Oryzias latipes: one gene and its partner. The protein of the gene in region 1 interacts with the protein of each later gene in a biochemical or structural test. Links are inferred from orthologs where the notes say so. Each region holds a gene or a part of one and is shown on either strand. Other genes may lie near its edges.

Region 1 (5,025 bases):
CTGTCAGATGTTTTCATTTCATGTTTTCTGCTGCGAAGAGAAAGGTCACCTTTTCTTCAGCTCATCTAAAGACAGATGATCAAAACCCACTGACATGGTACTGAGAACCTTTAGATTTGGACCTGCAGGGACAGATTTGCAAACTTTCATGATCTTGCACCAAAAAGTCTATTTTAATATATTAAAATATAAATAAAATAAAATAAAAACAGACCTGCAGAATCCAACAGTTCAGCATCAATCTTTTCTGTCAGCACGCAGAGCAGACCATCAACACCTTTGACCTTTTTCAGCAGCTCCGCCCTTGGTACAGGAACGTCGTCTGAGCCCCACAGCTCAAACTGCACCCTATAGGGCAAAACATGAAACCACAGATCTGAAGCAACCCCAATATGTCGTCATCAGCCGCAGAGGTCAGAAGTGCATAATGGGTTGAAATGAACAAACTCAAAAACACGGAGGCCTCATTGTTCTATGTACCATCAAAATTTCTATTTTAAATATTTGGAAATTTAAGATATAGATATATTAAAGAGGTTATGGAATTTGCAATCTTACAATTTCAAATGCAAACATTAAAAGTTTTCCTCTAAAAATGGGGATCTTTACAAAACAAATTTGTTGAAAGTGCTTCAATATCAGTGAGCAGCATGAAAGACATTTCAGAAAGACATATTTTTCTAACTTACTGTCCTGATTCTTTGAGGATCTTCAGTCCCTCAGGCGGGATCTGTCGGGTCACATACACCCGCTGGAGGGTGGACATTTCTCTCTGGACGTTACTTGGTACGCCTTCTTTGATGCTCAGGGGAGCAACAGCGATTTTCTGGAGCCGACGTAGTGCCATGCGACTGCCCCACATTGCCAAAGAAGAGCAAGCCTTTGGAAGATGAACGCAGTTCAGTCTGTTTCAGACTTAGTTTTGGCTGCAGCTCAGGGGGGTGGGGGGCTCCTGTGGGAGTTTGACCAATATGCTGAAAGGGAGGGTGCCTCTCAGACTAAGGTGCCCAGGGTTGAAAAATAGTTTTCTGACAAATGCAAGTCAGGGCTTTTTCTTGTTTAGGGTAAAATAGGAAAGAGGCCTTTTAGACTGAATTATATGCAAACAAGAATGCATTCAAAACTTGAAGTAACAGTTACTATTGTGTGTTCGTCATCGTTGTCTTGTAGAGCAACAGGAGTTGAACGGATGTAAATGTTTCACCAAACTGTTGACCTTTGCTTCTCTAAACAGTACAGCACCCAAACATGTTCTGTTCTATTTCTCCAGCTTCTCCAGTTCATCAAACCCTCATTCTTTACCCAAGTCAAATCAGGTCAAAGTGCAAATGATCATACAAAAAAGAAAGGGTTTTTGATAAAAATCAGTACATAAAAATTAAATAAAAAGGGACAAAATTGATATATCCTACAAAGCACATAAATACACAAATAAACAACACAAAAAAGATACAGTATACCATCAAAAAGATTGATAGACTGACTGAATAGAGCATGTGTGCATCAATATTGTCTTGGCAGCTCTGAATCTGAAAAAAGACAGGTTGTTTTTGCCTGTCATCCTCTATTTGACTGCAAAGATGAACAATCTCCTCCGGGTTGTTTAGATAATTTAGTACAGATGGTGGAAATAGCTGGAAAAACAATATGATCAAACACAATGTAATGGTACGTATTAATACCAATAGGGTTTTTTAAGATGATGCCGTTCTGCTAAAAAAAATATGCAGATTTAGTTTATTATTGTTATTATTAGTATTAGTTTATGTACTGTAATACTCATTTTAATCACCACGACATGATTGGATGACTGCTATCACGTGATTACTGTAACCCGGAACCACTTCAAATTTTCAACCACTCACAGCCATTCATTCGCCGAGGACCGTCGCGCATACTGTCAGCTATTAACGTAAGTCGTTTGGGTTTAGTTTTTAACTCTATAAATAATAAAACCTACATTGTCCTCGCTGAGTTGGAGATCTCTCTAAAAGATTGAACAACCCGGAAAGTTGCATATTATATTAACAAATGTGTGTCACCACTTTTTATGAGTTTACGGTGGCTGTCCTCGCTACCGGTAACTGGGCAGAAGTGAAATCCGTGGCTAGCTTGTGGCTAACGTTGCTTTTTCCTCTCGAGATTAGAAACGAGCATGCGCGATCATTATAAACAATTTGTAGTCGTTGTAACATTTGATCAGAACAAGTCCTATGTAACGAGTTCTAACCGTGAACTGTTACTGTTGACAACTTGCCTCCCATCAAATGTCAGCTAGCCGCCAAGCTATACTTTTAATAAATAGGGCGTTGGTCCACATTGCATCTATTTACACTAAAGTGTCTCACATCTTCGATATCAACTTTCTATTTGTTACGTGCACCTTCTTCTTAAGGTAGAGTCGCTATCTTTAAACCGGCTGAATCAGCCCTTTTCCTCCCAGCATGGCTGCAGACTTGATGGAGATTGACGACTCACTTTACAGGCAAGTGCAGTTTTTGGTGTTCTTTTTTTTCTTCTTCTGATGACCTGAAGCTCCACGTGCAGCTGTCTGTCTCCTTGGTGAGTGTAGCTAACATCTTTATTTATGTGCTTCCTAATAGCCGCCAGAGATATGTGCTTGGAGACGGTGCCATGCAGCAGATGGCCCAGTCCTCTGTCTTTCTTAGTGGAATGGGAGCACTGGGAGTGGAGATAGGTGAGCAAGAGAAGAGGACACACGTTTGCACCACAACTCTTTATCTTTGATAGATTCAAAAAAAAAAAAAAAAAAAAAAATCATACTCAATCATTTCCTTCTTACAGCCAAGAATATAACTCTGGCAGGTGTGAAGGTAAGAGGGCTTTTAAACTTTTCTTGTAATAAAATAGCAAACATGTCTTTTTTTTTTTAGTTAAGGGGTTTTATTATATATATATTTTTTATTTTTAAACAGACGGTTACTCTCCATGACACGAAACTGTGTGAGACTTGGGATCTGGGGTGTAACTTCTTCATCCGTAGAGATGACGTATTGAACCAGAGGAAGAGGTAATAATGCATTCTGCAAGTCCAAGCATTGGTTTCTAAAGATGATTAACTGCTATATGTGATTATGAATTGGTTTGTAAAGAACCACTTCAATTAAAAATCAGGTTTTTGGTGTTTTTAATTTGTTTTTGTGGCAATTTTTCTCATGATGGAGGGCATGTATAAAAAAATATTAGGCTTTATACTGCATTTCTGAATATTTTTGTTATTTATTAAAATGAACTACTACTGCCCTGTAGAAACTGTGTCCCAGAAAAAAAATAGCATGATCATAATTAAAAGACATCTGGGAACACGTTTTGAATAGATCAAAAGATGATCGGAGTAGGACTTTAGGTGCAGCAAAAACTCAGGTCTATGCATGGCTTTTGTCAACTCATTTGTTACTAAATAACATGCGTAGAAGCCTAGATGAGAGAACTTGAAAATTAGTTAATAGCCACTTGATCTTATCGTTACTTATGAAAAAGTTTTTTCTTTTTTTTTCTGTCCTTTTGTTGTGGATTTTGTCTTGTGTACCAATACTCAGCCTCTTGTTTTGCCTGTTACAGGGTGGAAGCAGTGTGCCCTCGTGTTGGGGAGTTGAACCCTTATGTTCATGTTGACATGTCCTCCTGTCCCCTGGATGACAACATTGACCTGAGTTTTCTCAAAAAGTATCAGGTAAGTCGACATATTTTATGTTATGTTATGTTCACACCGAGCGTGTGTGGCGCCTAAACCTGGGTTCTATAACACACATTTGGGTGTTCACACTGGACAAGCTGGCAGAGGCTTCTTCTGCTTTTTCTTTTGCTACTGTTTACTAGCACATGTCCACCACCTACATTTGGAAGACGTTATGCTGTTCTTGGACTAGTTTGTTGAATTTTTCCAGAAAAAACGTCAGATCAGCAAGAAATCTGCAAATGCTCTTGTGCTATTGGCAGCTTTATATTAAATTGTACTGTCAACTTTTATGAAAGAAAATTTTTGTCATAATTTAAGACAAGATTATTCCTGTATTCCTGAAGGTATTACTATATACTGACTGCTGTGCTTTCCCCTGCAGTGTGTGATTTTGACAGAGTCCAGCTTGAGCCTGCAGAAGAGAATAAATAAGTTCTGCCACTCCCAGCAGCCTCCCATAAGAGTGAGTTTACAGTCATTCCCCTGGTTTTACCAAGATCAATATTACTTATAACAAAAACGGTTTATTTAAAATAAAAAATATGTCTGTGTTAGTTTATCTCTAGTGACGCTTATGGAATCTGTGTCCGGGTCTTTTGTGATTTCGGAGAAGCGTTTGAGGTCTCGGATCCCACAGGGGAGGAGCTCAAGGAGATTTTCATCCAAAGTATCACTCAGGTAGTCATAATACTTTCACATTCTGTTCTTCAAATTAAGACTCCTCCCTGTTCCTCTGCTTATGCCTCTTGGAATTTACATAAAGTTATCTAATCAGTTATCCTGATATTTTTGTTTTGTTGCTGAACTTGTCCTTTTCTTCTTTTTTTTCCATATTTTTTTCAGGACAATTCTGGGGTGGTTACTTGCATAGACAACCAACCCCATGGTCTGCAGACGGGCCAGAGCGTTATCTTTAGAGAAATCAATGGCATGGTGGAGCTCAATGGCACCACACGGCAGGTTTCAGGTGGGTCTTTAATCCAGCACATCAATGCCACCACATGCAAATACAAAAGTAACCTAATCTAAGTAACATTTGTCCTGTTTCTGTTTCTCTGGGTGTGTGAATGTGTTTGCTGCATTAGTCATTTCCTCCCATAGCTTTGAAATAGGAGACACGTCGCACTTCCAGCCATATGAACACGGAGGCTTCTTTGTTATGGTTAAAACTCCTCAGATTTACAAATTTGTGAGTACAAAATAAATGTAAAAAATAATGCAGACATATTCAAATAACTACATTTGAGCACACGACTTTACATGTTTTACTTTTTTTTTTTTAGGAAACATTAGAACAGCAGCTGTGTGATCCTCAGGTCCTAATT
Region 2 (4,955 bases), on another chromosome or scaffold:
TAAATACATTGGGCTGGGTTCAAGTTTAAAGCTCACACTGTAGCTACTGTTTTAAACAAAATTTTATTTGGAATTTTTGTTTATTTTGTCACAGATGGCAAAGGAACGGATGAAGGATTTTCTCGCCACTGGGAAAGTTACCTTACACCTCTGTGATGTAGCTGCGATGCCTGTCGCAGTCAGCAGTGTGGATAAAGTTTTTCACTGTAACTGCTACTACTTTTGGCCAGACCAGAAAAAGGCAGCTCTAGAAATCCACCGCGTTATGAAGCCTGGTAATTTTACAGCCGACACTTTATTTTGTTTTTATTCCTGCATGCATCTGTCATCCAAAGTAAATTCAATACTTTTTGAGTAACTGAGTTTAAACCCACCTAGGAGGCCTGATGGTGAGCACACTGAGGCTAGCACATGTGGCTGTTTTGGGAGCCAAAGGTGTGATGCCAGGAGAGAATTGGCGCCCAGAGGGCTACATGACAGTTCTGAGAGACTGTGGCTTCACCGATGTCAGAATGGAAGACAAACAACACCATGATTTAACATTTCAAGCTATTTTTGCTATTGCGTCCAAATGATCATGTGTGTATTTGTCTCACACGTGCAACCAAAAGATTGCCAATGATGTGCCTGCAACTGAACATTAGCTTTACAGTAAACCATTTTGTGCTATTTGGTTGTTGCTCAGGCATTCCACAGCACAGTGTTAAGTAATTAATGCGTTAATTTAAAAATTGAAGCTTTGTTTTTTGCTGGTAGAGTTATGCCAGATATATAAAAATATGTATTTTAAAAGTATCATATTTTGATCTAAGCTCTTTTAGTGTAAATATAAATTGCTTCTTTGGGATTGATAATGATGTTGATTATGATATTGAAATGTCTTTTCTTGCTTAAATATGGCAAATTCAGTACTACTTTTTGAGTATTCATGACATACTACAGTATTAACCAGTTGCATTAAATATATGGTCAATAATAGAAAGAAACAGGAGACAGGGCTGGTTGTCACATTTCTTTCATGATGACCATTAAAATAAAAACAACACTAAAGATAAAATTAGTTGGATCTAAAAAATATACATGTTCAAAATATCTGCTCTAATCATTTGGTAAGAAATAATTTATGTTGCAAAAACGAGGAGGAAGTTTAATCAAATGGTAGACATCAATATCACAGCACCTGAGTGACAACTTGCTCCATTTTCTATGAATGAAGCAATTTGTTTAACTGAGAATGTTTGTTTGTATGTTTCATTCAAGAAATGGGATTATCAGAGTATTTTCTTTCATATTTTCAAACACTACAAAATACATAATGATGTGTGTAATTAAAAACATTCAAAAATAAACATGTTCTCACATTTCAAATCAGAGCGCATTTAGACAGGAAGACAGCTGCCTCTTTTCCTTTTTTCTCATCTTTAAAAAGTGACAAAACTGAAACAGAAGCTGATGTTTTTCATATGCTATATTCTACTTTTTGGGAGGAAGGGAGGGGGGGGGGTAAAGAAAAAAAAACTTTTTTTTATTCGTTTATTGATGTTTGTCAATTTTTTCTTGGTGTTTTTCTTGGTTTCGTATAGACTCGCTTTTTATTGTAAATAACCTTTGGAAATATTTTTACCACTAATATTGTGCTATGGTGTTGCAAATGTAATTGTTGAACCTTTTATCCTGACTTAGGACAACGGATGAAATTTAGCTTCTGTGCTAACTCTGGCATATTTATGTCAAAGCAGCTGCTGAAACATTGTGTAATATGCACCGTCCTAATTCAAACAAACAAATACATAAATAAATGTTGCGGGCTGAATTTATACCGGGAAAGAACTGTAGGTGGCGATCGTGTGCCCGTTGAAGTAGAGCAGGAGAAGAAGAAGAACAGAACGGCATTTGACGTTCGATTACAAAGCGAGGGAAATCCAAACCAAAAGCTGAGGCATCTCGCTTGCTGCAGGAAAATTCGACGTCTGAAAGGTGGTTCAAAGTGTCAAGTGAGTTCCGTTTGAAGTACAATAAACATGTTTCTCTTTCTGATTTCAAAGCGCGCGAATAAGTAGTATTTCATCTGCCAGTTTATAAGCACATATTTAATCTATAGAATAATTTGTTTTGTTTTGAAGAAACGTTATACAGTTAGCTGATTTTTTAAAACATCTTTTGAATCCCTGTCAAGAATGCAGAGAGCTTCTCGTTTAAAGCGCGAACTTCAGATGCTGAGCACCGAGCCTCCTCCTGGGATAACATGCTGGCAAAACGACGAGCAGATTGATGACCTCCGTGCACGTAAGTCTTATCGATTGATCGACAATTTATAATCTACTGGTGTGACTAAGTACTCCTTGTTATTTTAAGCATAAATGCACGTCTCTAATCTGAATGCTAAGGTCTCTCCTAGATGCAAACAAGGAGAATCATAGGAAAAGAGTGACAAAATCTTTGACAGTTTTATGTGTACTTAGTAGTTAGTAGGACCCATCATTTTAACTTCAACAATAATATTTTTGGTGATCACATGTATTTAGTACTGTTTAGATAAGAGTGATCGGCTCAGTGTGTCTGAAAATATTACCTGTGGATTTACAGCAGGCACTGCATTTTTCTTTTTCCACTGCAGAAATCGTGGGTGGATCAGGGACTCCATATGAAGGTGGACTCTTCTCTTTGGAGATCAAAGTTCCAGAAAGGTTTTGTCTTTTTTGTTTTGCAAAAACATCTGTAAGGTGTTGATCCTAACTTACCTGATGTTGACCTCCTACAGGTATCCATTTGAGCCTCCAAATATAAGATTCTTGACGCCAATTTACCACCCGAACATAGATAACTCGGGGCGCATCTGTCATGATGCTCTCAAACTTCCCCCAAAGGTTGGACTTTGCACCAAACAGGCTTCTTTTGTTTCCCTGAAATGTTTAAAACATTCACAGTAATCATTATTTGTGATTTGTTATGTCTTCAGTCTGTTTTTGGCAACTTTAAGATTTATTAAAATTAAAAATGTTTGTTTATTGGCCTTTTCTTTAGGGCGCCTGGAGACCTTCTTTGAACATTTCTACGGTTCTCACCTCCATTCAGCTGCTTATGGCTGAGCCCAATCCAGATGACCCATTAATGGCTGACATAGTGCGTAATATTAAAAAAAAGTTTTTGTCAAAATATGCTCTCTGCATTTACCAATTCAGTCATGAGTTTGATTACTCTGAAACATTTTCAAAACATGTTTAACTACTGAATATTTGAGGAACTTTTGCAATAAATAAGGATCTTTCTTTATGTTTTTAACACCTGATGAAACATGTGTGAGGCAAACCAGTGTGGAAGAAATGGTTATTTAAATGAATAAACTGCATGTAATGAAGTATATATTGTAACATACTTTTTTTTTTTTAGTCATCAGAGTTCAAATACAACAAACACATGTTTCTGGAGAAGGCCAGGAAGGTCACACAGGAACATGCTGTTCAGAAAACCTCTGTAAGTCAACAGATATGTGGACGATTCACTGTTATGATTATGTTTATTTTTTGAGATTTTGAATGTCATCTTTTATCTACTGCTTGTGGTAGATAAAATGCTGAATTCTGACAAAACCACTGGAATCTGACCATTTTAGGTTATAGAGAAATGCAGTCTAGTATCTAGTTCAGTCAAATACTGTAAAGTGTGGATCACTTTACCACACAGTTTACTCCCCTGGCAGTTGTGCTTTGATCTTTTGATATGTCACTTTTGTCATTGATTCCAGTCATAGTACTAGGTTTAGGGGCTGTCATCTGGACTTAGTTTTTTAAAGTTGGAAGACGTTTCACCTCTTATTCAAGAGGCTTTGTCAATTCTGAATTAGCTGGCAAAAGAGCTGGTATATACGCGCTCATGGAGGAGGAGTCAGACCTGAAACTGGATGGTATTGTCAACTTAGCCTGCGTGTTTTCGGGTCGTTAAGAGTCCTTTGTCCTCAGCTGGGGTTGGGGAGCCAGGGACTCCCACCCCAAATCGGTCATCTTTTTCAGCTGTTAACGACCCAGTTGGAACTGGTTCGGTTTGTTTGGGTTTCAGAACACTGCTGAGAATGGATGGAAGAATAAACCTGAGACCACCATTCTTATTAAGAGAAGGTTTATCCTTCTTGACAAAGATGGCTTCTTTCACTCCTCGCTCAAATGATCCTTTCTTTCTGGTTAGAATTTGGACTTCACTGTCCTCGAACGAGTGGTTTATGGCCTTCAGGTGGAGGTGCACTGCAGACTCGGGTCCACTTGGGTTGGCTCTGCGATGTTGGTAAAGCTGCTTGTGTAGAGGTTGTTTGGTCTCTCCTATATCCTATTCATTGAAGTTCTCTTTGTAGTGGATAGAGTACACAACATTACTCTGTTTGTTTGGATGAACCAGTTTTTGTCTGAGAGTATTAATTGGTTTGAGATGAACTGTGATCTGGTGAATGCCAAGTTGGGATATCCACAGGTTTGAAGGGCTTGATGGATATGTTGCTCATCTTTCTTCTTTCCGTCAGAGCTTGTGGGCACCTCCTGGGCTCTGTGTTGTAAAGTCCTGATAACACCTAGTTTGTGTGCTGTAAAGGGTGGTTTGAATCACATAACAGGTACTGATCTGTGTGAGTAGGATTTCTGTACACTTCAACCTGGAACTGTCTGTCATCTCCAATCTATGATAATCTACTACTATGAGAGTCTTCATAGACATGAGTCTTCATAGACATTGATTGCAGTGTAATTCATATTCATATGTAACCTGCACATGTCATTCAGATACTTAAATGGCAAATCTTGTTGTTCTTTTAAGGGAGTTGTGGAGCAAAACAAGGAAAACGCACTGGTTCCAAACCCATCATCCCGAAAGAGAGACTTGCAGAATGCAGCAGGAGATCCACCTAAGAGAACTTGCACATAGTTTTTATTTCACAATAACTTCATATCAAACCGTGTCTGGTACACCAA

What was found. The genes of interacting proteins can lie anywhere in the genome.
Region 2: the proteins of uba6 (region 1) and ube2t form a complex in vitro, tested with the Homo sapiens proteins (2 studies listed by BioGRID, with this or other methods). The link is inferred for Oryzias latipes from reciprocal best matches to the Homo sapiens genes UBA6 and UBE2T.

What each region holds. Positions count from the first base shown.
Region 1 is NC_019859.2:12,642,001-12,647,025, forward strand, and holds the start of uba6 (ubiquitin-like modifier-activating enzyme 6), read left to right. Parts: upstream 1-1,828; 5' UTR 1,829-1,912; intron 1,913-2,395; 5' UTR 2,396-2,444; coding exon 2,445-2,485; intron 2,486-2,603; coding exon 2,604-2,698; intron 2,699-2,805; coding exon 2,806-2,834; intron 2,835-2,936; coding exon 2,937-3,031; intron 3,032-3,582; coding exon 3,583-3,694; intron 3,695-4,082; coding exon 4,083-4,163; intron 4,164-4,255; coding exon 4,256-4,378; intron 4,379-4,543; coding exon 4,544-4,667; intron 4,668-4,785; coding exon 4,786-4,889; intron 4,890-4,983; coding exon 4,984-5,025. Other genes in the region: glyoxylate reductase/hydroxypyruvate reductase, read right to left, coding at 50-122, 215-348, 690-862. UniProt on the Homo sapiens protein: Activates ubiquitin by first adenylating its C-terminal glycine residue with ATP, and thereafter linking this residue to the side chain of a cysteine residue in E1, yielding a ubiquitin-E1 thioester and free AMP.
Region 2 is NC_019865.2:13,520,913-13,525,867, reverse strand, and holds the start of ube2t (ubiquitin-conjugating enzyme E2 T), read left to right. Parts: upstream 1-1,534; 5' UTR 1,535-1,994; intron 1,995-2,176; 5' UTR 2,177-2,177; coding exon 2,178-2,286; intron 2,287-2,617; coding exon 2,618-2,687; intron 2,688-2,761; coding exon 2,762-2,867; intron 2,868-3,024; coding exon 3,025-3,123; intron 3,124-3,390; coding exon 3,391-3,474; intron 3,475-4,800; coding exon 4,801-4,908; 3' UTR 4,909-4,955. UniProt on the Homo sapiens protein: Accepts ubiquitin from the E1 complex and catalyzes its covalent attachment to other proteins. Catalyzes monoubiquitination. Involved in mitomycin-C (MMC)-induced DNA repair.